Astyanax mexicanus: one gene and its partners. Each later gene encodes a partner of the first gene's protein in a complex. Links are inferred from orthologs where the notes say so. Each region holds a gene or a part of one and is shown in the gene's direction. Other genes may lie near its edges.

Evidence for each region.
Region 2: mediator of RNA polymerase II transcription subunit 13-like (region 1) and med16 share a complex: the UniProt entries of both Homo sapiens proteins name them as parts of the mediator complex. The link is inferred for Astyanax mexicanus from reciprocal best matches to the Homo sapiens genes MED13L and MED16.
Region 3: mediator of RNA polymerase II transcription subunit 13-like (region 1) and med7 share a complex: the UniProt entries of both Homo sapiens proteins name them as parts of the mediator complex. The link is inferred for Astyanax mexicanus from reciprocal best matches to the Homo sapiens genes MED13L and MED7.
Region 4: mediator of RNA polymerase II transcription subunit 13-like (region 1) and med25 share a complex: the UniProt entries of both Homo sapiens proteins name them as parts of the mediator complex. The link is inferred for Astyanax mexicanus from reciprocal best matches to the Homo sapiens genes MED13L and MED25.

The regions. Positions count from the first base shown.
Region 1 is NC_064408.1:20,292,858-20,300,262, forward strand, and holds the start of mediator of RNA polymerase II transcription subunit 13-like, read left to right. Parts: upstream 1-4,402; 5' UTR 4,403-6,639; coding exon 6,640-6,711; intron 6,712-7,405. UniProt on the Homo sapiens protein: Component of the Mediator complex, a coactivator involved in the regulated transcription of nearly all RNA polymerase II-dependent genes.
Region 2 is NC_064423.1:18,117,345-18,124,974, forward strand, and holds the start of med16 (mediator of RNA polymerase II transcription subunit 16), read left to right. Parts: upstream 1-4,607; 5' UTR 4,608-5,013; coding exon 5,014-5,152; intron 5,153-6,671; coding exon 6,672-6,779; intron 6,780-7,009; coding exon 7,010-7,179; intron 7,180-7,630. Other genes in the region: tmem259 (membralin), read right to left, coding at 325-621, 1,778-1,993. UniProt on the Homo sapiens protein: Component of the Mediator complex, a coactivator involved in the regulated transcription of nearly all RNA polymerase II-dependent genes.
Region 3 is NC_064417.1:49,420,454-49,428,137, forward strand, and holds the start of med7 (mediator of RNA polymerase II transcription subunit 7), read left to right. Parts: upstream 1-4,666; 5' UTR 4,667-4,814; intron 4,815-6,597; 5' UTR 6,598-6,606; coding exon 6,607-7,350; 3' UTR 7,351-7,684. Other genes in the region: itk (tyrosine-protein kinase ITK/TSK), read right to left, coding at 2,494-2,649. UniProt on the Homo sapiens protein: Component of the Mediator complex, a coactivator involved in the regulated transcription of nearly all RNA polymerase II-dependent genes.
Region 4 is NC_064426.1:18,402,130-18,409,798, reverse strand, and holds the start of med25 (mediator of RNA polymerase II transcription subunit 25), read left to right. Parts: upstream 1-4,648; 5' UTR 4,649-4,835; intron 4,836-5,819; 5' UTR 5,820-5,823; coding exon 5,824-5,960; intron 5,961-6,046; coding exon 6,047-6,092; intron 6,093-7,040; coding exon 7,041-7,165; intron 7,166-7,669. UniProt on the Homo sapiens protein: Component of the Mediator complex, a coactivator involved in the regulated transcription of nearly all RNA polymerase II-dependent genes.

The DNA.
Region 1 (7,405 bases):
CCTCAGCACATACTGTTGCTGAACCTAGACCTGACCGACTGTAGCATTTGCTTTGTTAACCTTCCTGCTATCGTCAAATATATGAACATCCTTTATTCTCTTGGTTAATATGATCTTAGCAATTTAAACCTCCAAAAAATTATTATAATTACAGATCATTAAACATGTTGGCAAAGTTTACTTACCAGTGTGTATCAAGTGTTTTATTAGTATTGCATAAATATTATAAGTAATGTTTTGTTAAATCAGGGCCTAAAGTAAAGGGACATTTAGAGAAATTTTATAAAACTGAACGTCATGGTGATCTTAACATTATTACTACACAAATATGTCAAATATTGTTATTTTTGTTATGTTTTATGCCAACAAAACAGCCTTTATAAAACAGACATTAAATTTGAACCATTTGAACATTTTTATTTTTTATTAATTGTCTTCATTAAATTAAGAAAAGACAATAAATATGAATTACAAAACTAATGTCAACCATTTTTTCAGAGACTTGAAACAATGAATGGGGTCAGATTGAGCCCAAAGATAATAGGAGGGTTAAATCCAGGTGGAGACTTTTTTTTTGGCCAGCCAGTGTATAATTTTCAATTTCTTAATTTCAGTACAGCATATGCACTGACATGCCAGGTGTCATGGGACATAGAACTGTAATATCATGTCCTATTACTTTTGCTATGTCGTATAGAGGCTGATGTGTGTGGGGCCTCCTGCATTAAATGTAATTGTGATTTCTGCCAGAGTTGCTTGTCTGTTTACACTGACATTTCTAGCCAGAGGTCGCTGGTCACATCATAACCACACACTGCTCTGTCCACTGTGGGAGGTAATGCCTTCTATGATGTATTCCTGGGAGTCTGGAATTATATGCTGTGGATTAAAGAAGATTAAATTTCAACAGAACTTCAGGTACAGAATGTCTCATTTATCTGGAACCGAATATCAGACCTCACTGGAACAGTTTATACAGGTCTGAGTGTCCTTTTCCTAGCTGTTCCCTGAGGTAGGCTCTCATAAGCCTGTAGAGAAGTATTGCCAATAGAATAGGACTCTCTGAAGCAGATATACCTGAAACAGTTGGCACTATGTTGAATGCCAGACATGGACTAGAGAGGTAAAAAGCTTTCCAGCATAAGTTGTGAAGCAGTGCTCCATCCAATACTTTTGGGATTAGTTGCAGAGGTGGGAATCATCCTCACAGCAGTCTAGTACAAATCCCTCCCTGGACAGTCGAGACAGTTGCCATAATGTCTCAAATAACAGAGAACAGTGAATAAGCAGGTATCTCAGTATTTTTGTCTGTAAAATGTTCATTGTAGTGTAAAGTGTACATTGTAGTTTATTTCATAACAGTGTATAACAACTTTATTACAATATGTTAATAGGTTATGACAGTACACCTTATATAACTGCACTGTTTATTATACTATCTAACAGCTGGTGTCAAACGAAATGGGTTCCGAGTGGTCCAGCGGTCTAAGGCACAGCCACTATGACCGGGAGATCTCCAGTTCTTATCCGAATCCTGTTTATGTAGCTTGCCATCAGCTACCGGAGCCCCGAGAGAGCACAATTGGCCTTGCTCTTTCTGGGTGGAATCTGATCAGCACAAGGCATCTGTAAGCTGATGAATCAGAACCAAGTCGCTCCGCTTTCCTCTGAGTGTGATGCTACTCGGCAATGCCGCATCAGCAGCAGTTCGAAAAGAGGCGATGACTGACTTCACCCGGAGTCTTCACCCTCCTGGTGTTGGGGCATCACTAGTGATAGGGGGAGTCCTAATGAGTGGCTTGGGTAATTGGCTGTGTAAATTGGGGTAAAGAGGATAAAAAAAACTTTAAGTAAAGTGGAATTATGACAATTTGTGTTGCATTTACAATCAAATGACAAAAAATAGTAATTAATTGATACTGTTTTTCTGTTTTTTATCTTACTTTTGTCTATTACATTTCATGTTTATTTTAGCTGGGTTAATTGTGAAAAAATGTTAGATACATATTACTATGAGTGTGTAAATATAAATACATGTTTAGAATTGGCAAGTTTAAAGACATCTTACTGGCCTTCTTGCAAAAAGTAAGCAGTGAAGTAATGAGATAGGAATTCATACTGTAAAGTGTTATGGGTGTAATTTTCTTATACATGATGCAATTGCTCAGCAGAGATATGGAGAGTTATCTTTTTAATATGTGCACTCCTTCATCAGCTGATGATAAATGTGGAAGCTGTGTCATTCCTGTCAATCATAAGACATGGTTAGGTTCATATCCTCTTTAACCCTTTCACATCCAAATTCAGAGGAAAAGAATATGCACATGATCATTCTAAACACAGTCATACATCCTATTCTTTCACAAACAATATATGGCTGTAATTACTGTTTATTTGTTTGTTTGGATTCTTTCTTAATCTAACTTATTTAGAAACATTTTTCAGTTATTTTAAATTGCTCAGGAACTCAATGGAAACATGGAAAAGTTTCAGAATGGAAGCTAATCTCATCTCTGGCAGAAAGAAGGTAGCTGACCAATGTTGGCTTACTAATGGCAAAGCTGGTTATTGGCATTTTTCTCAGCATTTTCTGGGAGACTTGCCAGATACTTTTGTTTTCTTTTATAAAGTAGATTAGAAAAGAGTATTCATTCATTTTCAATTAAATCATTTTATTTCAGACCTAGTCATTATTATATTTGTAATAACTGCCGTCATTATTTTTTCAAATAAAAGTCTCTGTGCATTTATAATATAGTTGGTGAATGAGCTAGTTAAATTAGATTATTGTGCATTAAAATGATCTGGATGTATCAACATTGTCAGTCAGTGGGGTGCTGAACTTAAAATATATCAAAATATATGCTTGCCATACAGGATGGTAATAACTACACAATCACAGTCTGACAAATTGACTGTGTAGATTTTTAATACGCTCAACACTAATAGTGCCTATCTAAATGAGATATTTAGTTGTGGGGACAACCTATTAAGACGTGGGAACAAAATAATTAAGTCATGGTCCCAACTTATTAAGGCATGGGAACAAAATAATTAAGTCATGGGGACGACTTCTTAAGGCATGGGAATGACATCATTAACGCTTTAATAAGTCATCGCCACATGTTACTATTTTTTTTTTTTACATGATATCACCATAGAACTGTACTGCTTGGAAAGTTTACACACTACATTAAAAACTCATGTAAAAACTCATTTTTTATTAGTCTGCAAAATGACTTTTGTGCTTGGACTTGACACACAGAAGGTCTGACACACTTCATCTTCATCTAAAACACAGTGGCATATTAGAGGGAGCATGCCTTTATCTTCTTCTGCTTTTTCATCTTTTTTCTTTCTTTTTTCCTCTCTGTTTTGTATTTTCTTTTCTTTTTTTTTCTTCTGCTTATGGTGTGTTTAATTGGGTATCAGCGCCTCTAGCGTCGAGATGAGGTTCTGTCCCTCTCTCTCTCTCTCTCTCTTTTTTCTATCAAAAGAGGCTGAAAACGCTGCTGTAATCCCTTTGCTTTGATCACGTGCTTTTTTTGTGCTCTACTTTGCCAAATAGGAAAGCGAGTCTCTGTCGAAGCCTGGCGGCCGCCATTACATAGCTATGCGTGGTGGGCTGTCGAATAGCGCGAAAAGCTGCCAGCGACTGTTAGCGTAAGCACACACACACTACACTGTTTCTCACACACACACCGTCTCTATCTCTCTGTCTCTGCCTCTCTCTCACTCTCACACAGACACACACACATAAAAAAGTCACAGACACACACATATAGGCTACACTGTTTGTCACATCTACAGTATCTCTGTCTCTCTCACACACATACATATACACAGTCACACACAGTGGCTACACTTTTCCTCACAAATACAATATCTCTCTCTTACACACACACAAACACAAAGTCACACACACATATGCTACACTGTTTCTCTCTCTCTTACACACATACACACATATTTACACAAAGTTACACACATACACACAAATAGGCTACACTGTTTCTCTCTCTCACACACAGCCTCTCTCTCTCTCAATTTAATTCAATTCAATGTGCTTTATTGGCATGATAAATAGTGATACATTTCTGTTGCCAATGCCTGAGTTATACAGTTTTAACAGTAAATAATAGTGGACTGTCTCAGAGATTAACAATTTCTAAAGTGTAGAAATTAACAATTTCTAGAAAACAATTATCTATTTCTCTCACACACACAAACACATACATACACACACATAAGCTACACCGTTTCTCACAAACACACTGTCTCTCTAAAACACACATACACACACATAAAGTAAGACCCCTCTATTTGCATAGCCTCCATCCAAACACAGAGCGTGCGTCGCGTGTGTTGTGTGTGTTTTTTTTTAAGGATCCAGGAGCCTCGCTCTGTTCGATTTGTCCTCGGAGTGTCTCGGAAGCGCTCGGAACCTCTCGCTCGCGCTCGGCAGCTCTCGGCGACTCGGGGAAACAGCGGCTAAACAGTGCAACAGTGACGGATGGCACGCCGTGGACGCTTTCGGAGAGAGCTCGCTGTGTGATTTCTGGCCGACTCGAGCAGGGCAGATAGCTGAGGAGGCTCGTCAGACGGCCGTGTTTACTCGGTGACTGGAGCTATCGGCGGTGGATCTGTTCCTTATCTAGCTTATCCTGTATCTTAGTTATCTATCTGTCTGTCAGCGACTCGGACTCGTTTCTGGCTTTTGTTTGATTTTATTTAGCTTTACTTCTACAAGAAGAAGAAGGAGAACAAGAAGAAGAGAAACTGGCGAGAGAGAGAGAAAGAGAGAAATATCTCCGGGAGAGGACGTTACGTTATTTCGTAATTTCGTTCTACTTAGCTAACTAGCTAGTTATGTTTATAACCAGAGAAAGGAAGGAAGTTTTTTCCCCTTTCTCTTCAGTTTTTTTCCTTTCTCTTCTGTTTGTTGGTTTTTAGCTTATCTAAGAAAGCTAAGCTAGGTTTGGTAGCTAAGGAAGATTGCAGTTGCTGCTGCTGTTTGTTGCTACGGCTGCTGCTGCTGTTGTTGTTAGCTAGCGTTAATGTTAGCTTAATGTTGTTTTCTTATTGTTTTAACTAGCTAAACAGGTTAACTAGCTTTGCGTTAGCTAGCTAGGTTAGCTGACTAACTAGTTATCTTAACTAACTGCATAGCTAATAAGGTTTCTTTAGCTGGTTAAACATGTTCGTTTGTTGTCTTCGCTAGGTGGCTAACTAACGTTACCTCCTTCCCTAGTCTCTCTCTTTCTGTGACTGGGTGACTGAGAGACTGATAAAGAGAGAGAAAGAAAGAGAGTGAGGGAGGGAGTGAGAGAGTGAGGACAAGAAGAGGAGGGTCAGGTTTTTATTTTTAGCTCCTCCAGAACGCTAGTTAACTAGCTGGGGTTAGCTAGCTTGCGTTAGTTGCAAAGTGAAACGAGGATTTTTCACCATTCTTCCTTCCTCCCTTGCTCAGAAGCCAGACTGTGTTGTTGCTCGCGTATCAGGGGAAGAGTGAGGACGGCTCTATAAATAGCTCCAAAGAGAGGGAGAGAAACTACATCGACGTTAGCCAGCTAGTATCATTTTCTCTCGTGTGCCCCCTCTCTCTATCTATCGCTCTCTCTCCTCAGTCTGTGTGTGTGAGTGTGTGTGTTTTTTGCCGCCTTCTCTCATATATGGAGGGCTGTGGGGGAGTCAATGGAGTCCGCTCACTCGCTCCGCGCTTCTGTATTGTTCCTAAACAGAGACGCTTCAGTGGATTATACTAGCCATAGCGAGCTACAAAACTGAAACTTGAACTGGGAGCACGCCGATATTGAGACGTGTCCTCTTTTTTGTGTGGATTTTTTTTGTTGTGTGCAAGAAAAAAGGAGAAAGAACCGAGAGGATTGGAGAGAAGGAAGGAAAGAAAGAAAGGGCATAACTGGTCCTGGCTCTTGCTTTTTTGAATTACATTTATTTTTTTTCTTCTCCCGTGGATTACTAGGATATACTGTGATTATAGATATGCTATTACAGTTATTGTATTAGTAGTAGAAGAAAAAAACAAAAAACAAGTCAACTGGCATGGACAAGGATGGTCAAATCATCTCACGGCGGCTAGGAGGATTAAACACACGGAGGATCATCATCATCATACCCACCGCCACCGCATCGCCACAGACAATGATTCGGTTTCAGCCGCCTGACGAGAAGCATCCGAGCCACCCCGAGCTCGTGTGGATGGAAACAAAGTGTTAGTGCTAGCGCTAGTTTTCAGTTTTCGCCCCGAAGAAAAGAAAAAAAAGCGGAGACGGAGAAAGGAAGGAAGGAATTAAACCCTAAGGCATTCCTACGGATTCGCTACAGTGTTTTAAAAAAAGAGAGAGAGAGAGAGAAAGAGAGAAATCACGCCTCCGCTGGTTTACACTGCGTTGTTCCTCTCAGTCTGCTGGCTTTCTCCGTGATTTTTCTATATTTGTTGCTTGCTTTACTACTGAAGGAATCGTTCATCCACCTTCTTCAACCGACAACCAACCTACCCACCTACCTTCCTTCCTAAGTACCTGCCTAACTACCCCCTCTCAGAACCCTCTGCTCGGTTCTGATACCGATCGAGGATCTCGACATGCCCTACGCTGACGAGCCCATCGGCGGACGATTATGACTACAGCAGCGAACTGGGTGGCTAACGGGGCGAGCCTTGAAGACTGCCATTCCAACCTTTTCTCTCTGGTACGGTCAACCAACCTACTTCTATACACTCACTTATGTCCCATAGAGTCTAGCTAGCTAGTGGCAGCGATTGGGCTGGAGGGGGGAATGAAGCAGCTGAGGGGGTGTGGTGGTGGTGGTGTTGGGTGGGTGGGTTTGTGGGGTTTGTGCCTGACTGCCTGGAAGTGTGTGTGTGTGTGTGTGTATGTATGTATATGTGTGTCTGTGTGTTGGTTGTGGGGTTCTCCTTGAGGGCAGGGACCAATCAACCATCCACCCACCACCAGCCTACTGTTCTCAAGGTACAAAGGTGAAGCAATCTCTGGTAGCCTACTGTTATTAGCCAATCATTAACATGCCAAAAGAGCCTGAGAGCTGGGCTGGCTTGGAAAGGTAGGTTAACATTTCTTTTTTTGGCAGTCTGCCTCCTCATGAAATGAGCTTGAGGGCTACTGTACTGTTCCCCACGGTGTGGTGGTCAGGAGTGGTCAGGATTCATACTCACCATTCATCATGCCATTGAAAAAAGAAAGGAAAGAGATGCCTTGCTTTGGCAGACAGTTCATAATGGCCAGCTGCTACTGTATGGTATGGTTGGTAGTTGATTGGGAATGTTGTGCTGCTATTGCTCGGGTTGCTTGTTACACACACACACACAGGCAAATCTGTTTACTCAAGTTTCAGACAAAAACCCTTTGGGGAAAGGAGAGACAGG
Region 2 (7,630 bases), on another chromosome or scaffold:
TCTTAATAAAAGAGAATATTCCTAGACATAAAAGACAAAAACAAATACTCTAGTGTTTAAAATATGTCCAGTCTTTTTGTTTTCTCTGCTGTAACACATAAATAAAGGGCAATTTCCCTATGACTAGATTTACCTTTTAATATACAATCTCCATTCAAAATACTGTGTAGATCACGACTAGGCTTAATCCCCATCTAGGAAACTGTCCCAAAGGTTTACCTAGGAAGGAAATGCACTAAAATATGTATGTTCCCCTCACCCAGGACTGGAAAACACTGCCCTAAAACAGAACAAGTGCCTGCATGTGTTTTTCCTTTTACTTACCCTAACAGAGCTGTTATCAAACATTTCCATGGTCATTTCGTCCTCCTCCTCCTCTTCTTGATGAACAGGAGCTCGGCTGGTGTCCTCTGTATCTCCACTGGATTCTTTAACCAGCCCCTGGAATCCTTCCGTCTCGTAAAACTGCAGGAATATGGGCGCACGGCTTGAGTTGCGCTGGATCTCCACGCGCAAGATTCCATCACGTGGCCATTTCTCACGCACATGCTCCAGACAGTTGATGGGTGATCGGGAGAAGGCGATGTGGATGTAGGCCAGAATGAACAGCACAAACAAAGCCTGCAAATGAGAGGATGTGATTGATGTCAGTAGGTAAACATTCTTTAGCTCAGCAGAATAAAAAAAATGGGACACTCCACACATCCTTACGGGTCTTGTGGGTACATGCACACGAGGACCCCTGGACCCCTTTGGAACAGGGCTATAGTTGGCAATGGTATCATCAGGGATTAAAACCTGCAATCTCCTGATTAAACGGCCAGAACTTAAGTCCCTTTACTCAGGAGCTCTCTAGAAAAAGCAGCTCAAAACTGTCACAGGGTGATACCAACAAGCGTTTTTGTTGATTTTTAGTTTACTACAAAACATGAATACACAAACTGTCCCTTATACTGTGTGAAAATTTCTTGATGGATGGACCAAAAGAAATTCTTCTTTATTGCCTGAAATTAACTCTTTTCAAACTAACTTCCATTGAAAGTTGGAAAGGTGGTTTCATATCTCTCTTGTAAAATACTAGTTTTTCATTGGATAGCACTCTGTACAATAGTTCTGTCTATTTCTGACAGTGTACCATGTTTACCTCTGTGGCTTTCCTCACCTATAGGCAGGTTTTACACATACAATTTCTATTTGAGCAGAGATAAGTGTTGACTTCTGATTTGCAGCCAACATTTTAACATGACAGGTCCTGTTTTGACTAATAGTCAGTAAAAACATTATTATCTATATAGTTAACATACAGTTTTGCATGGGTTAATTGGCCAATATTGCAGATTTGAATGTAGCAGTCACAGAATACGTGTTTTAAAATATGTTATTGTGCCATCTCAATCCAGATCAATCTGTTAAGGCACACCAACATTTAACCTTTATTCATAATATGAAAGCCTGGCGTGTCCTCTATGTCTAATTACAGAATTACAGAGTGTATCTGTGGTCAAGTTACACTGTGACTTTCATAGAAGAGTGAGGGGCAGCTTCTCAAACAGGGATAAAGCCTAGTTATAGATTATACTTAAATGGAATATCTCAATTCAAGATGTCAAAGAAGGCTTAAACTGCTAATTTATAACCAGAAGTAGGCCTGAACTTGGATTAGCTAAGGTAGCATTCTCAGTATATACTGTATATATAGTGTTCTCACTGTAGCTAAAATGCTCAACAAATATGGGCTCAGGTCCAAAAGGGTACGGGGTAAACAAATGACACGTACCTTCAGAAGCACGAAGAACTCGAAAATCCTCCGAAAGGACGGTGGGAATAGCCTGGCATAGGTGACTGCCATCTTAAAGAAGAGGGCATGAAAGAGGCGGTCCCGCACGTTGATGAGGGGGTTCTGGTTGATGTTCGGGTTGCGGATTCGGTTCGGACCGCCATTGTTGTTCAACGGCACGTTGTTGTTGTTTAGGTTTCCCTGGTTGTCTGACATGTCTAACGCCAGTCCCACGAGTTTAGTGCGAAAATTTGATGGCCATGTAGGTCAGACAGGGAGCGACATACGCAGATACTGATAATTAACAGTACTGCCACTTAACCTAGTTAACTAATGCTAGCTAGCTACCTAACTAACAAATTAACGTGGGTGGCTGTAATTAGCTAACCTGGGTTTGCTAGTTAACTGAGAAACATTAGCTATCTTAGTGTGGTTATTTAGCGCTAGTCTGCTAGCTTGTGCACTACAGTCTGTGCATGTACTTTAACTAACGTTATAAACTGCACCAAATTTCTTAATAATCCAGCCTACGTCGTTTGACTGAGCTAGCCCTAGTTATCTTGGATATGTGTGTCTCATGACATCGCTACGAGTTTGCTGGCTTGTAAAAACAAGCTCAGTTAGCATTAGCTAACCTAGCTACCGCTAACTACTGAATGGGGGCATGTCACACTCCGTAGACGTTGTTTTTTTAGTCTTCTTCTGTTTTTATTTCGGTCTATCCTTAGCTAAATAGCTTTGTCAGCCTTAATAAGATGAACAACACCGAACTAGCGTTAGCTAGCTTAGCATACGTGCTAGCTAGCGCTAAGTAAACTGTACCTGGCCCTACTACTCTACTAACCCAACTAACCAGGCGTTAGCTAGCTACGCTAGCTACAACCTCGCTAGCTCACGTTTGCTCCATTTACCACTAAGCTAACTATCTTAGCTAAGCTAACTGATTTAAATACTCCAGGTCAATTAACAGAGTCTGTCAGTGTTGCTGAAATGTAGCTAAATTAAAAAGAGCTAACTAAACTCGATGCCACTTGCTAGCATAGCCCGCTAGCCTGTTGCTTATTAAACTAGCAGCTAACCTAGCTAGCTAGGCTAAACTACAGTTCAGTCTGACGTACAGCTAGCTGCACACAGAGGCCGTATGATCTGCTGCTCCTCAGATCAGCTTCTCTATTAAACACAGATCCTGACACTCACTCTCCCTCTACCGCACACGGAACCGTAACGACGCTAAATACAATCCCACGGGATTCCTCTCCGACAGAAGCTGCCAAGAACTTGTATCCTCTCGCTGTGGTCCCCCTGTTTACACGACCCTTTTCTAATCAAGGCGTACTTGGGTACTTCAGGAGTGACGAGAGCGAAGAAAGTGAGCGGTTGGCAAAGACAGTCATGCCGATGTGTTAGACCCGGACTCAGCGGCTGATCTCAGATACAGCGCCACCTCTACGCGGGACGACTACAAACACACCTGTGGCAAAATCGCCTAGATCCTCAGTTAATCAATTTGATTCTACCCTTTTAAAACAATGGTCTGTGTCAAGAGCATGAATTATTAAGGTAATTTATTATGCGTCAAGTCAAAACAAAATGTGACGTTAATTTTAATAGCCGTCCTTCACTGAACTAATTTCCACAGTTCAGGGCTTGTCCCCAGTTTGGTAATTAAATTAAATTAAATTATATTGATATAGCGCTTTTTACAACATTTGTAAAACCACACACAGTGCACCACAGTGATGCCAACAGTAACAAGGAAAACCCCCCTCATACTAAGTGGAAGACACTTTAGGATAACATGGTAGGCTAAGATGTTTATTAGATTTTTACTATAATATACAGTTTACTTCGTTTTAATAAAGACTTTGGGCTATAAATATTGCATAGATGTTTACATTTATTTTTTAATTTTATTTTTTATGATTTTAGTACGGTCAACACATTTATTAGTTGCATTGTTACCATGTTATTACAATTGAGTTATTATAATGATTTAATTACTATTCTCGTGTGACTTAATAACAATGTAGTTAAATCTTTATATTGAATAGAGAACAAAATGAAAATTAAAATATATCACAAAAGTTAATTAAAGGAGTAGAAACCTAATTTTAAACAACTATATAATGTCAATGGATAAATACATAAAATGTTTACCAAAAATTAGACATATAGAATTGCACCAAATAAATGACATTTATTTCAGACCTTTAGTAACACTTAATACAGCCCACAATTTAGTGTGTAAATGTGTAAGTTCAAATAACTTATGAGTACATACAAGATACAAAAATAAAGTTAGGGAGGTAAATAAAAAAAATACACCACATGTTTTGGGAAATTGTTATTTTCTTGTTATTGGTTGGGCTTTTTTGTTGTTGTACATGCATTTAAGTACCAATAAGAACCGGCACGTATTTTATATGTGTAACGGGCTTCTTAGTGTTACACATGTATAGGCTCATACAGGGATTATACCATACATTTTGGTAATTACATACTAAATGTCGGAAAATTGCCCAATTGTTCCACTATTGCTACTGTATTTTATATGTGCTGGTTCGTACTCGGGTCCTACTCTCTGGTTCCTGGTTATCCTCATTACTTTATTCGTAGCTACATTTAAGTAGCAGTAAGACAGACCTTGTAAATATTTTGTAAATACTGGTTCATACAGAGAAGTTACGGGACATTTTATTAAGTGTTACCATATATTTTATGACATAGATTATATTTAGTTAGCTAGTTAGTCTGTTAGCTTAGTTAGCTAACAGTTAGTGTTTCTGTTTATGGTTAGGGTCGTTACACTCCTGGCCGGTAACGGCGCTCTGACAGGTCAGTGCTGGGCGGAGCGCAGCGCTGCAGAGGAAGACTCATACACACAGCAACAGCGCTGTAGTTCACTGTATAATCTCCATACACAGAAACTTTATTTTAGTTTAACTGTGTTGTTTCAGAACCGTGTGGATTGTACATATTTTTTCTAAATACGTCGCTTTTTCCCCCTCATTTGTATCAAATTTGGTGAGATTTTGCGCTTTGTTATGACGAACTGGTTAGCTAAATAAGCTAACAAGCTAGCGTTAGCTGGCTAGCTAACAAGCTAGCATTAGCTGCTAGCTAACGCCGGGCAGTAGAGTCTATTGAATGGCTCTCTGTTCACTTGAGCGTTTGTATGAAACCCGGAGACATTGGAGGAGTATATCTATCTTAGTTAAATCGTTAATGTATTAATAATGGAGGTTGTGTATGTGTGCGAGTGGGAGAAGAGACCCAAAAACAACCACTGCCCCTCCATCCCGCTGGTGTGTGCCTGGTCCTGCAGAAACCTCATCGCCTTCACAACAGACCTGAAAAATGAAGAGGACGATAAAGGTAAGAGGAGTCCTTATACTAGTGCTCTCTGTTATCCTCTGTCTAATATAAAGTGTAGTTAGTTATATTAGGTTATATTCTACACTTTATTCATTTATGTCTATGAATTTTAGCCAGTGTACAGAACTTAAGCCTAACACTATGTTTGTGTCTACCACTTTTAGTTAGCTATGCATATTTCAGATCCACTGAACATACTACTGCATTTCAGAAAAATAAAATATCATTAAAAAGTTGCCTTATTTCAGTAGTTCAGTTCAAAATGTAAAATTCATATACAGCTCTGGAAAAAATTGAGAACACTTTCTTTGATTTTACCAAATTGAAATCCTCATAAAGCTATTCAAAAGCACTGTGTAAGACTGGTGGAGGAAAACATGCCAAGATGCACGAAAACTTTGATTAAAAAGCAGGGTTATTATTTTTATTTTAACCATTTCTCATTTTCTGCAAATAAATGCTGTAAATGACAATATTTCTATTTAGGAATTTGGGAGAAATGTTGTCCGTAGTTTATAGAATAAAACAACAATGTTCATTTTGCTCAAACATATACCTATAAATAGTAAAATCAGAGAAACTGAAGTGGTCTTTTAATTATTTCCAAAGCTGTATTATATAAATGTTTTATACACAGTAATCTATTATCTATAGTTGAAGATGATGACAAAAATCAGTATCTCAGAAAATCAGAATATTATATAAGACCGATTGGTACTTGTGGCGGTGTGGGCAGTGTGCCGAATTCTGCTGCAAAATGAAATCTGCATCTCTAGGAATCATTAAGTGCTGTAAGATTTTCCGGGAAAACATTGCACTGATTTTGGATTTGATTTAACACAGTGGACCAAAACCAGCAGATGACATGACTATCCAAACCATCACTGATTGTGGGAACTTCACACTAGACCTCAAGCAGCTTGGACTGTGTGCCTCTCCACTCTTCCTACCGATTCTGATTCCTTGAGTTCTCTGATCCCTTGATTATTTATAGCAATATTTTGAGCATACACACAATTGTGCTGCACATAATCCAGTTAAACATTACTGATTAAACTCTCTGTAATGTAATAGTGATGCTCATCAGTGTTCTTTTAGCAGTAATGTCATCCAAATATGCTTCGATATCACAAAAATTGAACACAATGCAATACAATGTAGAAAGAAGCCCTCTTCTATTGCACATACAGATGTTACATATTTTATAATATGCAATAGTATTGTGTTATTTGTATTAGTTGCTATTTACTGGAAAGATTTATGGGTTGTTTTTGTTTAATTGTTTTGCACTTTATATGCATGCACTAAATATTCCACACTTTGGTATTGCGCTAGATTTGTTGCTAAATTTTTTTGTTGTTACATTGCTTATTTTGTTATATATTTTTTGTACGAAACCTGAGACTTCATCATTTATTGGTTTGCTCTGTTGAAGCTGTTTTCTTTTGTGTATCATGGATATATATTTTTTCCCCTTAGTGCAGTCTAAGTGTTTAACATAGTACATTTTTTGCTTTAGAACTCAGTCACATGATTCATATCATTGACACTGAACACCCCTGGGATGTCTACTCCATCAACTCGGGTCATAGGGAAGTTATTTCGTGCTTGGAGTGGGACCAGTCAGGTAAGTTAACCTCACTGTTTAAAATTTAATTGTAAAACGGCCAATATTTTTGCATTCTCTCATATATACATTTTTTTCTAAATGATCTAATATTGCAAAAGATTAGCACTGTGTGCCCTGATAGGTGAAATTTTAGGACAAAGAGTATTGTAATGATGTTCACTCATTTTAGGGCTGCAGTATATTCATATCTAATTTTTGCCTTCATTCATTAAATTGTGTGTAACTAGGATCCAGACTGCTCTCTGCTGATGGGGACGGAGAGATCAAGTGTTGGGCAATGAAGGAACACCTTGTGAACAGCTGGGAAAGTATACAGAGCAGCTCTGTTGATGGAGACCCTATTGTAGCTCTCTCATGGTTGCACAATGGGGTCAAACTTGCACTGCATGTGGAGAAGGTAAGAGCAAGAAATTTACCCACATTTTTTAGTATATATTTTAGTATAAGGCACACTTAAAGTTCTTTAATTAAAAAAAAAAATGTCAGTGCACCTTATGTATGAATTCTACCAGTCAGGTTGTAAAGAGCAGTAAAGCCACTCCGCTAAAGTACAGCATTATAGTTTAGTTTTATAGTTTAGTTCTCCAGCATCTGAACTCTTTAAACTTTATGAATATGAACTAAAGGCTCTGCCTCTTTTTTATTATCTCAGCCATTTCTCATTTTCTGCAAATAAATGCTCTAAATGACAATATTTTTATTTGGAATTTGGGAGAAATGTTGTCTGTAGTTTATAGAATAAAACAACAATGTTCATTTTACTCAAGCATATTCCTATAAATAGCAAAATCGGAGAAACTGATTCAGAAACTGAAGTGGTCTCTTATTTCGTTCCAGAGCTGTATATA
Region 3 (7,684 bases), on another chromosome or scaffold:
AAGGTGCCACACCTTTGCCAAATCCAACTTGCCTGATCTTACATCAAATTAAGTTCATGCTTTATTTCAGTATTGTTATCCCAATAAAAGCTTCAGTCTATTTGTTTGTTTTTTAAGTATTTTTAAAAAGATTGTAAAAAGTATGGTGATACAAAATGATTGTTTTACTGATTTTAATAACACTACAGAAGAAAACTAACTGAAAAGGAGTTAATGTGAGCGAGAAGAACCTTTACATTCATGTCTATAAATCTTTTAGAATCTCAATTTCAAAAATGCTTCTTCTGTGGCATTGCTCAATAACACCACAAAATACTGAATATGAGACCACAGTAAACGCTACCTAATATCTACAGCCATGCTGTTTAATAGTTGAGTCTTGCTGTTGTTAAAATCTGACATTCCTATTGTAACATAAAGTATATACCAAAAGTACAAATATGCTGTCTGGTAATTACTGTTGTAAGACTCGAGTCTGGTCTCCCATAAAAAAGCAATCTTAGTTTTGATCCCATTTGGAATTGGTCATGACTCAGACTTGACTTGGCTCTAGAGGTCTTTTATATTTACATGAAATAATATTTATCTGGTCTTGAATTTGACTCAGACTTGATATCTCCCAGTCTTGGTCTTAACTCTGACTTAACTAACAAAAGTTTTGGTCTTGACTCAGACTCAATATGTTAAAGTGTATGTCTAAACTTGTCTAGACTTGGCTCTAGTGGTTTTGACTTTTTATATTTATATACAAAAATCTTTAACCTGATCTTGACTCGGACTTAACTACGAAAAGTCTTGGTTTTGACTCGGATTTGATTCCTTAAAATCTTGGTCTTGACACCTACTTGAGTACAAAAAATATTTGTCTTAATTCGGACTTGGTTCCCAAAAGTCTTGGTCTTGACTCTGATTTGATTCCCAAAAGTCTTGGTCGTGACTTAGACTTGACAACAAATTTCTTGGTCTTGACTCTGACTCAACTACAAAATAGTCTTGGTCTTGACTTCCGATTTGATTCCCAAAAGTTTTGGCCTTGACTTGGATTTGATTCCCAAAAGTATGGGTCATGACACAGACTTGACTACAAAAAAAAGTATTTGTCTTGATTTGGTTGTTTTGGTCTTGACTCAGACTCGACTAAGAAAAAAGTATTGGTCTTGACTCGGATTTGATTTCCAAAAGTCTTGGTCTTGACTAGCACTCGAATAAATAAAGTCTTGGTCTTGACTCTTATTTAATTCCTAAAAGTCTTGGTCGTGACTCGGACTCAACTACAAAAATGTCTTAGTCTTGACTCGGATTTGATTTCCAAATGTCTTGGTCTTGATTCAGACTTGACTACAAAAAAGTCTTGATCTTGACTCTGATTTGATTCCCAAAAGTCTTCGTCTTAACTCGGACTTGACTAAAAAAAGTCTTAGTCTTGACTCTGTTTTGACTTTCAAAGTCTTGGTTTTGATTCGGATTTGATTACCAAATGTCTTGATCTTGACATGGACTCGTCTAAAAAAAATTATTGGTCTTGACTCAGACTTGACTGCAAAATAAGTCTTGGTTTTAAGTCGGATTTGACTGCTAAGATTCTTGTTCTTGACTCAGTTCTAGTGGTTTGAAATAATTTTTTCTGGTTTGGGATATTAATCTTTATATCGGTATTGGCCACTGACTAGCTGACTTGATTACCACAAATCTTGGTCTTGACTCATATAGCCTGATATAGCCAGTCTTGGTCTTATCTCAGAATCGATATAGCCCGCTCTTGGTCTTGACTCAGACTCGATATAGCCAGGTCTTGGTCTTGTCTTAGACTCGATATAGCCTAGTCTTGGTCTGGACTCAGACTCGATATAGCCCGGTCTTGGTCTGGACTCAGACTTGATATAGCCCGGTCTTGGTCTGGACTCAGACTCGATATAGCCTAGTATTGGTCTGGACTCAGACTCGATATAGCCCGGTCTTGGTCTGGACTCAGACTCGATATAGCCCGGTCTTGGTCTGGACTCTGACTCGATATAGCCCGGTCTTGGTCTGGACTCAGACTCGATATAGCCCGGTCTTGGTCTGGACTCAGACTCGATATAGCCCGGTCTTGGTCTGGACTCAGACTCGATATAGCCCGGTCTTGGTCTGGACTCAGACTTGATATAGCCCGGTCTTGGTCTGGACTCAGACTCGATATAGCCTAGTATTGGTCTGGACTCAGACTCAATATAGCCCGGTCTTGGTCTGGACTCAGACTCGATATAGCCTAGTCTTGGTCTTGACTCAGACTCGATATAGCCCGGTCTTGGTCTTGACTCTGACTCAATGTATGCCGGTCTTGGTCTGGACTCGGGCTTGGCTCTGGCTGTAACTCCATTTTTATATCATCTTACTCCCACAATAAAAATGTACATATATATATATATATATATATATATATATATATATATATATATATATATATATATATATATATATTTATGTATATTGTACAGCAGCGAGTGTACTCACCCCAGGGCGACGCTCTGAATAGGTCAGGTCCTCAGTGTTGAGTATGAAGTAGCGCTCTTTATAATTGCAGGGGGAGGTTCTGCGCTTCTGCTGAGACTTCTTAAATAAAGTTCCCTTCAGAATGACCCGCGGGTACGTGTTAGGGTTAGGGTACATGAGTCTGCTGGAGGAGCTGAGCTGGGCTCAGGCATTCCTGCTGCTGCTGCTGCTGCCGTGGAGTGTGTGTTACTAACAGAGATCATGCGTCTGTAGACTAACACTGGTGCATCATGAGTTATGGGCTTCCGGAGAAGATACACCGGGTAAACCACTTCCTTAGGTAGGTATATGACACAAGTGTGCTCTCACACACACACACATACACACATATATACACACATACAAACACATACATACAGTACCAGTCAAAGGTTTGGCACAACTTACATACAGTGTTTTTTTTTTCATTATTTTAAAATGTTCTGCATTGTAGATTAATACTAAACTCATCTAAACCATGAAAAAAACATATGGAATTATTAATTATAGAAAACAGTGTTAAACCAGAATATGTTTATATTTTACATTCTTCAAATCAGCACCTCTTGCTTAAATTAGACAGTTTTGCACATCTCTGCTGTATTTTCTCAGTCAGCTTTATGAGGTAGAGTCACCTGGATTTCAGGTTTTCAGTTAACAGCTGTGCTGAACTCATCAAGAGTTAATTACTACTTTTTCAAATTTCTTGCCTCTTAATGTTAATGTGTTTGAGAGCATCAGTTGTAAAGTAGTGAAGAGGTAGAGTTACAGGTATACAGTAAATAGTGAATATTTGAATAATGTTCTAATCCAGATTATGAGAAGCAAGAACTACTCAACTAAATGAAGAAAAATACTTTAGGAAGAAATGAAGGTATTATCATAGGGCAGGAACCTAATTCATTTTAATTTGTTTTCCTAAGAAAACCCATTTCTTCTTCACTATACTAAATAGGGGAAAATATGTAAAAAGATGTTACACCCAGTTGTATATGTTTTTAAATTTAGCCTTATTTGCTCAGAAAATTAGACTGATGAACATGACAAGAGAATCATGTTTAAACTTTGAACACAGTTCAGTGGAGCAAAATGGTGAAAGTATGTTCATTTAGTGAAATTAACATCTAAATTTACATTTTAATAAGTCATGGCCACGCATTATTGCCCATGAATGTTAACCACACTTTTATACATAAAGATACCATTTTTTATTATAACAATACATTGATTAAACGTTTAGAATATATTGTAAACTTTTATATTCTACTAGCAAAATATTTTAATCACAAACAAAAATTTTAGATGCAAAACTAAGCTTTGCAGTTTTTGATTAGTTTAACAATTATCAGTTACATTTTCTGACTGTTTGAGGCTAAGTGCAAAAGTCTAAAATTGGATAAAAATGTCATTATTTAATTGTTTACATTAGTGCAGTGTAGACGTTTTTATCCATTATTTATAATATATAGTTTTTTCTTCTCTGTCCCTCATAATCAGAATTTTAGGAAAATTTTAGGATGATTTTTTTCATTGTTTCATTTTGTAAATAACATTAGTTGAATTACACCATCAGATTTAATCCAAAAATGGAAAAAATCTGAATATCAAGAAAAGATTCACTTTTTAAATTAAAAATTCTGAAATTCTGTTCACGAAAGGCAGAAATTGAAAAACTGGATTAAAACGCATTTCTTCTTTACTATACTGAATTTTAAAAATAAATAAATAAATAAGTTTTACATCTAATTTTGTAAAATGTTAAAATTGAATAATCAAAAAATAAAAAATATTATTTTTTTTCCTTTTTCCTGACATTCCGATTGTGAGGGTCAGAGATGAAAAAAATAAAATTGGAAAAATGGATGAAACTACATAAAAAAATAAAAAAATGTGCTTTTACATCCAATTTTCTAATTTTGCATTTATCCTCAAACGGTCAGAAAATTGAATTATTAAACGTTAAGATGACCCAGTTGTTTGACGTTATTTGTATACTTGTTTGTTAAATACATAATAAAAAATAAAATAACCATAGCGTGAATTAAACAAATAATTATTAAATAAAATTATTAATTTTAAAACATTACAAAAAATAAAACGTTTACAGCGCTGTTGTTTTGAACACGCCTTTAAATGATCTACACCAATCACAGCTCCCCTCCCTTACCCGTGTCGTCCAATCAGAAGGCAGCTTACAGTCCGGGCTCGGAGGCGCTATGAGAGCAGGAGCTTGGCTGGGTTGTGTTTATTTTGTATTTTATTAATAATCTGTACAGAATTCCGCGCGGTTCGGCTGCAGTTTGGTATGTAATAATTTCTGTATGATTTACTGCAGTAACTGGAGCTGTTTACACGCGTTTAGGGCTTTTAAAATACTTTTTATTTAGATGCTAACTAAGCAGGTTAGCATTAGCGACGAGCTAGCTAAGCTATGCTAAAGCTAATGTTTTAGATTTAGGGTTAGATAGGTTATATGTGTATATAGGTTATTTAGTTATATATTTCAATGTATTTTTAGCGTTTATACGACTCTAAACCTCGTTAAACAGTGATTTAATGTGATTAAAACTTTAAAAATGTGCTGTGTTGATTATATAGGCATGGGACCTGTGTTGTGTCGATTTTAGCAACATTGTAAAACTATGCTACCCTAGTAGGTGTGTACAATATATTGTGACACAGAAATATCGTGATATTAAAAATCCATATCTTGATAATTGGGCTGTTCTGTCTTAAAATTAGTCTATTATTTACTGTGAAGCTTTAGGTGTATTTATTGTATAATTGTTTCAGTTTGCAGTTTATATGCATGCACTAAATATTCTGCAATATTATTTGCTGCATTATATTATTTTATGCTATATGATTTATTTTGCCACATTATGATTATGCTGTTAAACTGTTATTCTATATTCCTGAAATTAATTAATTATTTTTCTGTTTTCCTATATCGGCAAGTATATCGTTATCACAAAAAATACTCTGAAATAACGCGATATTATTTTAGAGCCATATCGCCCACCCCTATACCCTAGTGTAAATTTGCTGGTAAAATACAAAATATTAGAATATGTATTAGAAGTAGAAGTTTCGGATGATATTTGAATAACCTAAATTGCTGTATCAGGGTAATTAGTGGATGGATGGATGGATGGATAGATACTATAGTATAGCTATTGCAATATTGAAGACTATATTAAAGCTCTACTGGAGCGCATGCTGTATGAATTATTCTGTAAACAGTAAATAGTATTAAACAAACAAGAATCTGTTTTATACTTTAGATTCTTAGCACAAAAGTATCACATTTATCTTTGAGGACAGATCTGCACACTCTCAGTATTTTAATCTCAGTGTCTTCATGAGGGAGAGTCACCTGGAATAGTTTTCTCAGAGTCTTGAAGGAAGGAGTTTCTGGAGGTGCTGAACAATAGTTGCTGCTTTTCCTTCTTCACGCTGTGCAGCTCAGGCTCATCCCAATTTAAATCACCTCAAATCACCAACTCAGTTCATCAGGTTTAGATCAGGAGATTAATGTGGTGACTAACACTTTTTTTATGTTTACTACGTAATTCTATGTGTGTCCCTTAATCGTTTTTGTGTCTTTAATCAAGATTAATCTACAATGTAGAATTGTGTAAATTAAATAAAGTAATTAAGAAAACATTGAATGAGTAGGTGTGTCTAAACAGTACCAGAAATTATTGCTATAAACTATATATTATTGTCATTTTAAGACCAATGTATGCTACAGATATAATGATAACAGAATATAATTACAAAGCAATATATTTTAAAGACACTGTATGTATGGAGTCACAGTTATTGAAGCATTGGTCATTTAACATGACTGATTCAAATACTGTTTATTATATAAGATAAGCATTTTTTAACGGGGTTTATCTCTAATTGTTAAAGTGTTTCTAAAACTCAACAAATAATAACTATACTTCTATGTTGTACTAATTCATTTGGATTTAACACACTATTTCATTAATTCAAATGGTCATATGTTTGTATTGGTATCAGCATAAATGTACACTATGTCAAGCTTTTCTGTTTTCTCTGTTTTCTCTCCGTTTCCAGACGCTCAGGATGGGTGAGCCACAGCAGGTCAGCGCCCTGCCGCTGCCGCCGATGCAGTACATCAAGGAGTACACGGACGAGAACGTGCGGAAAGGCCTGGCACCAAAACCGCCGCCTCCCATCCGAGACAATTACACCATGTTCGGCAACCAGTTCCAGTGCGACGACCTGATCATCCGGCCCCTGGAGAGCCAGGGCATCGAGCGCCTGCACCCCATGCAGTTCGACCACAAGCGGGAACTGAAAAAGCTCAACATGTCCATCCTGGTGAACTTTCTGGACCTGCTGGATATTCTGATTAAGAGCCCGGGCAGCATTAAGCGGGAAGAGAAACTGGAGGACCTGAAACTGCTGTTCGTTCACATGCATCACCTCATCAACGAGTACCGGCCCCACCAGGCCCGCGAGACGCTGCGCGTGATGATGGAGGTGCAGAAGAGGCAGCGGCTGGAGACGGCCGAGCGCTTCCAGAAGCACCTGGAGCGAGTCGTGGAGATGATCCAGAACTGCCTGGCCTCGCTGCCGGACGACCTGCCGCAGCCGGACGCCGCGGGCGGGGCCGGAGCGGGTCGGCTGGGCGGGGCCGCGGGTTTGGGAGGCGAGTCCAGACTGAAAACCGAACCCATGGATTTGGAGGAGGCGGGCGTTAGCTGCATGGCAGGACAAACGGACAAAAACATTCCAACCACAAAGAAGGAGAAAGTGTGGGATAAAGACGCTGCGATGTGCAGCATTATTGATGAAATGACTTGAATTGCTTTATATATATGATGTTTCTTCTTCTGTTTTTTCATTCAGTGTAAAATTCATCAATTAATTTAGTTAATTAAATTTTCTGACTGTTTGAGGCTAAATTTGAAAGTAGAAAGTAGTTTTACTGGGTGTAAAACTGTATTAACTCATTTGTTTCCATTTAGTATAGTGAAGAAAGGAAGTTTCGTCCATTTTTCCTCACTTTTAGCTTTTAATTTCTAAAACACACAATCAAAATGTAAGTAAAAATTAATCTTTGCCAACATATATGCCATACTTTGACCTCTATACTTGTGTTCATGGCTGCTCTTATTGTGCCGCTGGCTGGTTAGCA
Region 4 (7,669 bases), on another chromosome or scaffold:
CAGGATTCAAACCAGCGATCTCCCGATCATAGTGGTAGCACTGTAGACCGCTGGACCACTCGGCATCCCATCCAGCACTTTTGTATTGATGGTAAAATGGTGTGGTGATAATCCAACACCCTGACCTCACTTATGCTTTTGTCACTGAATGCAATCAAATCCTTACAACACCCTGCTAAAAATATCCAGCTCAAATCCAGCTCGCTATTAAAAAAACATGCCTTTTGCTGGTTAGGAGCTAGTTTAATGGTTAGGAGTTTAGTTTTTTTTTTTTAATCTAGCAGAAAGCCTTCGCTGGACAGTAGAGTCAGTTACTCCAACATAAACAGATTAAACTCTTTTATAATATACTTGATTTCAGGAAAAAAAAATAGTAGATACCCCTTTTGTTTATTATACATACAGTGTATAATAAAATGTTTTGGTGATTGTTCAATCGCATGAAGCAAAATATATAAAATCAACAACTAAAAACTATGTATTAGAATCAAAGATAAATAAAAATGTATCAAGAAAGAAATACAGTTTTTTAATGGTGAAATTCAGCCGCATGTGCACTCACCCCAGCTGGTGAGCATAGAATGGGAATCAGCCTTCGCCACTTGCCAACTCTCTGTTACCAAGAATAAACTGCATTAGACTCATTTCCACATGCCATCAGCTGATGCTGCCATACTTTAGCTGAGCTTGTGCTGATTCTTCATGCTATCTGAGAAATTTAAATTAAATAATTGCAGGTAACTATTTAAGAATATATACAGTACCTGTCAAAGTTTGGACACACTTCTCATTCATTGATTTTATTTTATTTTTTTTCTTACATTGTAAATTAATACTGAAATCATTCAGACTATGGAGAAACCCATAATGTCATGTAGTAATTTAAAAATGTTAAACAAACCAAAATACTCTGTGAAGCATTTAGGTGGCTCTTATCTGGGGTTTAGCTGTTAACATGCAGTTTCTGGGGCTAGTAACTCTGATTAACTTATCCTGTGTAATAGAGGAAACTCTTGATCTTCCTTTCCTGGGGTGGTCCTGATGAGAGCCAGTTTCATCATAGGGCCATTCCACCTAATGGGTGCCATTTGCTTGTTGTAACTCTTCCAAATTAATTGTATTATTATTATTATTTTTTTAATTTTCCAACTCTGAATCTAATAACACATATATTTAACTATTTAAAATATGTACTGGTCAATCTCAGGCAGCTTTACTTTGAAAGTAAGTTTTCTAAACTGAAGATTACAAAACTCATGTGACAGTTAAAAAGCATGTTTAAAAGCAAGTCTACTAATTCCTTTGATTTTCTCTCAAGAAAGTCTTTATTTTAAAGAAATGGTTGACTGTATGTTCAAATAATTGATATTTGTGACAAAAAAAAAATCACTCCTGTTACTGGAACTCACTACTGTTACTGGTACTCATTCCTGTTACTGTATATGTTTTGAGTAACAGAAAATAAACTAACAGGAATTAGCTTTTAGGATAGAATTAGTAAAAACAACAAAATTTAAATAGCTAAATGGTGGCTATGCTAATAGCATAGGGACACTGAGCACATTCTAATGATTTTCTCAAAATTTGTATTTTAAAAATAAACATCCAAAAATTAATTTAGGCAACAGGACAGAATGTTGAGATTAACCTTTTCAGTCATATCTACAATAAGATCAAATATACAGAAAAACAAATGAGGGAACTTAATTTTGATCTTCAGAAGAACCAACTGATGTCACTTCCTGTTGTAGATGTGACTTGTAGAATGTTTTAAATGTTTCAGATGGGGAATGTTTTATGGTAACAGGACTGAGTGAAACAGCTAAAATGTGTATTTTAACCTAAATATTATAGACGCATAATGAAAAATATATTTTTAAAGCATAGATGGTATTTGGACTTACACAACAATGCAAAAAATAATACATGTCTAAAGGATTTTAATAATTATATTTCATGGTGAAGTTTATATTTAGGAAGTGGGGACAAATGTTATTTTATCAGTGTTCTATGTAGTTTTTATTAATGTTTTAAATTACATATATTACTTTTGCAGTTAGATAAATGTACAAGACACTATGCTTAATAATACAATGTATTTTATAAATATTTTATATTATATATACATTTATATATATAATTTTCTGGGGACAGAAATGGAACCCATTCGGTGGAATGGCCTCATAATGTTTTTGATGGTATTTGTGACTAAAAGTTCTTGAAATGTTTCGGATTGACTGATCTTCATTTCATAGAATATTTTTTACTACCGTATTTTACGGACTATAAGGCACACCGTATTATACGTTGCACTATCAATAAACATCTTTTTTCTGATCTATTTTCATACACAAGGCGCACCGGATTATAAGGTGCATTTTAAGTGACAATAGTAAGGAACAGGGTTTTTATCATTTTTCCCTTCTAATTCAGCAGGTCTAACAGCTGAGGGCGTACTGTAACAACTGTAATTCCTAAAAAAACATATTTTCTCTTAAAGTCAAACGAGTGCTGGATGTTAACCTACACAGATTTTTCTCCTGGAAACTCTTTACTTACAGTAAGCTTAGATTTCCATTTTTTTAGCACAGCTAGATGCAGTAAGCAGCACTTAGCACTAGAAAACACCACCTGACAGAGCTACACTGAGGAAGTCTGAGTGTTCCAGTAACCCAGGGTACTATTAGCTTGTGGTTCGTCTGACGTAGTTTGTTTTAACATGAAAAACACGTAGACTACAGTCTGCTATACTTACCTCTGAACAGTAAAAGAGCTAGCGTTGCGGGTAGCGGCTAATGCTAATGCTGCTCCAGCCTTGGTGCTGGAGAAACTTCACTGTAACTCCTGTATAACGCTGTACTCCAGTATAATTCACACATAAGGCACACTGGATTATAAGGCATTCTGTTGATTTTTGGGAAAGTTAAAGGATTTTGAGTGCGCCTTATGGTGCGAAAAATACAGTATTTACTTAGTTGAGCAGTTCTTGCCATAATATGGATTAAAACATTACTCAAATAGGACTATTTACTGTGTAAACAACTCTACCTCTTCACAACTTTACAACTGATGCTCTCAAACACATTAAGAGGCAATAAATTCAAGTAATCAACTCTTGACAAACTACTACTAAATAAAAATGAGAAATGTGCAAAGACAAGATGTGTAAAGCTGTCTTATCTAAGCAAGACGTGCTACTTCGAAGAATCTAAAAAATAAAACATATTCTGGGCTGTTTAACACTTTTTGGTTGAATAAATAATTCAATCTGTTTTGATTTCGTCTTTAGTATTAATCTACAATGCAGAGTTGAGGTATAAATCTCACTGAATGTTCTTTTATTTAACACCCACAGGAAAAGATCTGAGGTCTTACCTACCTTCTGCTCAGTCTGTTGCTCGCTGGTTTAACGTCAGTCTGCTGACACCTGCTGTTCATTAAGTGAATTGCACTGCTGGCCTATTTTTAACAATATGAACAGACCTCAATAATTTACCTAAACAAGCATGTTAAACATCACTGCACAGATCTCTCCATAACTATATCACAGATTGTGTTCCTAACCTTTGGAACACTATAGTGCTTATACACAGCTCTATGCAAATGTTTTTTTTGTGGCCAAGTATGTGCATCTTAAAATATTAGAATAAAGAAAGTTGCTTTATTTCAGTAATTCGGTTCAAAATGTGAAATTCATATATTATATAGATGTATTACAAAGAGAGTGATATATTTTAAGCATTTATTTATTTTATCGTTGATGATTATGGCTTACAGCCAATGAAAACCCAAAAATCAGTGTCTTAGAAAATTAGAATAATATATAAAACCAATTGGTACTTTTGGCAGTGTCCACACTACCTAATAATATTCAAATTTGCAGAGAGAATATATGAGTTTTACTATTTAAACTGAATTACTGAAATAAAGTAATTTTTATTGAAATGTTATATTTTTAGTGATGCACTAGTACATATACATCTAGATTTTTATACAGTCAAAAGTTTGAACGCACCTCTTTTCGTTCAACGTGGTTTTTTTTTATTTTTATTTTTTACGATTTTTCCCACATTAAGATTTAATATTAATGAAATAAAAGATCGACCGGAACACGTGGTGTTATTTCGTAAACAAAAAATCTAAAACAAACCAGATTATGTTTTATATTTTAAACTCTAAAAAAATTAAAATAACTAAAATACAGTTAGTTATTGTATTTGAATTTATATTACTATATGGGAGAATATATCTATCTATCTATCTATCTATCTATCTATCTATCTATCTATCTATCTATCTATATATATATATATATATATATATATATATATATATATATAGATAGATAGATATATTCTCCCATATAGTAATATAAATTCAAATACAATAACTAACTGTATTTTTACTGCACTATAAACACTAAAACAAAACTGTTAAAAACGTTTTTAAAAATGCTGTTTTACCTAAGAAAGCAAAAAATCTTAAATTAATATGTGCAGAACAAAATATGCATTAAATAATCCACACTGCTTTAGTTTTAGTTAATTAATGTATTTACAATAATTTAAGAATAATTTCAACATCGATTTTTTTGTGTGAATGGATCGGTAGTCGACTCTCCGCCCCTGTCCGCCTTTTTCTGTTGCACCCAGTCCGATGAGTCGATAGTCGAGCGGTAAATCTGGAGGTTTGTTGTCATCGCGCTTCTGCGAGTTAAGTGAATATCTGGATAAAGATGAAGACGGAAAATCTCCGGGTGTGAATTAAATTCAGTTCTCAGTCTGAACACTTGAATAAAGCGCTCCTCTCGGGTGTGGTGTGGAGTGAAAGCCGGGGTAAGCTGCTGTATTAGGTTTGATATGATGATACAATGCTAAGCTAACTAAATTTAAACCCAGAATAAAACCCATTCCTGCTGTTCGGTTTGTTTAGTATAAGTGTAATTATAAATACAGGTAGATGGACTGTAACCTCGTTTAACAGGGCTTCTGTTTTACCCTGATTATTATTATTACGTTACACAGCCGGCTGTTTTATACGAGGAATAGTTTTGGTTTAATTTCGCTTTTCTTTCCTGGACTTTCCCGTTCCACCTTAAATAGTGTAGCGGTGCAGCGTGAAGTCTTAAGGAGCTTCAACGCAACTGCTGCACTATTTAAGGTGGAACGAGAATTCCAACAAGAAGTATGTTTCATCCAGTAAACTAACCTAAGTTAGATAATTAACTACATGTCTAAGGAGAGTTTATTAGATAAAATAGTCAGTAAATTTGCATTGGAAATTAGTTATTATATATTATAATAATATAATATATTATATATAAATATATATATATATATATATATATATATATATATATATATATATATATATATATATTATATTAGTTAGTATTATGTTGCCTCTTTGTATTTATTTACACTTGTCTTATTGAAGTAATTTGACGACGTACTAGCTACATTTGTTAGGTTATAGTGGTAAATGTCTACCTTAAATATTATATATACAGCTGTGAAAAAAATGAAGAGACCATTTCAGTTTATTCTATAAACTATGGACAACATTTCTTCCAAATTCCAGATGAAAAAAATTGTCATTTAGAGCATTTATTTGCAGAAAATTAAAATTGACTGAAATAACAAAAAAGATGCAGAGCTTTCAGACCTCAAATAATGCAAAGAAAATAAGTTCATATTTATAAAGTATTAAGAGTTCAGAAATCAATATTCAAAATCAATATATGGTTATAATGTGTATAATTCTAATGTGTGTAGTTTATGAAAATAATTAACAAGGTTGATGTTTTCCTTCTTCTGTAGCACTATGGTGACCCACATGGACCCAGCTCCCAAAATTGGTGCCAACCAGGTTTCAGACGTGGTGTTTGTTATAGAAGGAACAGCGAATCTCGGTCCATATTTTGAATCTCTGCGGAAGAACTACATACTGCCAGCCATCGAGTAAGAGCTACTGACCAGCTTTGTTCCAATATTGCTCCCATTTGTTTTTATTATGTTTTACTAGTCTTTTGATATTGTTATAACAGGTACTTTAATGGGGGTCCACCAGCTGAAACAGATTTTGGAGGAGATGTGAGTATAATCTGAAATGTTTACTAATGTGTATGTTTACGTGTGATAATTACGCTGTTAGTGGAAGAAAAGCAGGTTTATATTGCATTTAGCATGTCTACAAGCACTTAAAAGTACACTTTGTCAAATAAACAAGATGACTGAGCCATGACCCCAGATGCAGGGGATTGGCCAAGACACGTTTGGTATCTAACATGTTCTTTTTTTAGTTTTAAGCGAGGAATGCTAGGCTAATGTTGCTAACAAACAGTGGACTTGGACTGTCATTTGTCTCATCTCCCTGTAAATATATGTCTAAAATTGTTTGTCTCTCAGCCCATCTCTAAAGTCTTAATTTGTTAATAAAACTAATGTGGTTTAGAGCATGATTAAGTAAGTAAATTTCATAAGTATTTGGGTAGAGCTAAATGGTAGGACCACTTTTCATATTTCTCCAGTTTAAAATTATTAGTACTAAAAAGTACAGATAATAATAATGTGTTCCAGATTTGTTAAATTGTTTTATCTTGCTTGTAGTTTTTTTTTATTAGATTTTCAAAGAATATTAATGAAGTGTGCTTTAAGTTTTTTGAATAAGAAGATTGTGATCAAAATCTAAAACTCATATCGTTGTCTTTTTAACATAGATAATGTTTCTCTTAAATATTTGTTGTGCCTTAATGTTTTTCCCCAACAAATTGTCAAATTACGTACTGTATTTATATCGCCTTATAAGGCGCACTGTATTATAACACACACTGAAAGGTAAATAAAATTAAATGATTTTAAGTGCGCCTTATAGTAAAAATATGGTAATTGCCATTTTAGAGTTTCAGCATTAAGTGTTAACTGTACTGCCACACTAGGTTAGTATGCTGGTTTTGTACAAATTTGAACAATCAGAACTCTGTAATGATCACTTTACTTACTCTTACCAAGATTTAAAATGTTATATGTTCTCTTCCTCAGTATGGTGGGACACAGTATGGACTGGTGGTCTTCAACACTGTGGACTGTGCTCCAGAGTCATATGTCCAGTGCCACGCTCCTACCAGCTCTGCCTACGAGTTTGTGTCGTGGATTGACAAAATTCAGTAAGTCCTAATTAACTACAAAACCATATTTAATGCAGCATTATGTAGGGCTGCATAATATGATGATATATTTTGATTAAAAAAAAGTTGTTTACACTTCATATAATACTCTATTGTCTGTATCATTGCAAAATACAACAGACTTTTTGTTGCAAATGCTGCAAATGCCGAGTTAGTCTTCTTCAGAGACTGTAAAAAAAGATGGACGCCGTGTCGCCGTTCCCATTCAATGAAAATGAAGCCAAAATCTTCCACCATGTTGGCGATCCTGAAACCCGAGTCTGCACAGTAGAGACCAGAGGAGGGAGAAAGACTGTGGAGAGACAGCCTACTCATTTAAATAACTCCGCCCCTGAGGGCTGCAGAGCGGTCACAGGCTGCAGAGCGGGAGTGGGAGTGGAGCTGACGGTCTGTTATTGGTCCCGCCCATAACCAGCCCTTTTACAATAATCACACCTGTTTTGAATTGAGCTGAATAACGTTTTAAAAAACTAATTCTGTGGG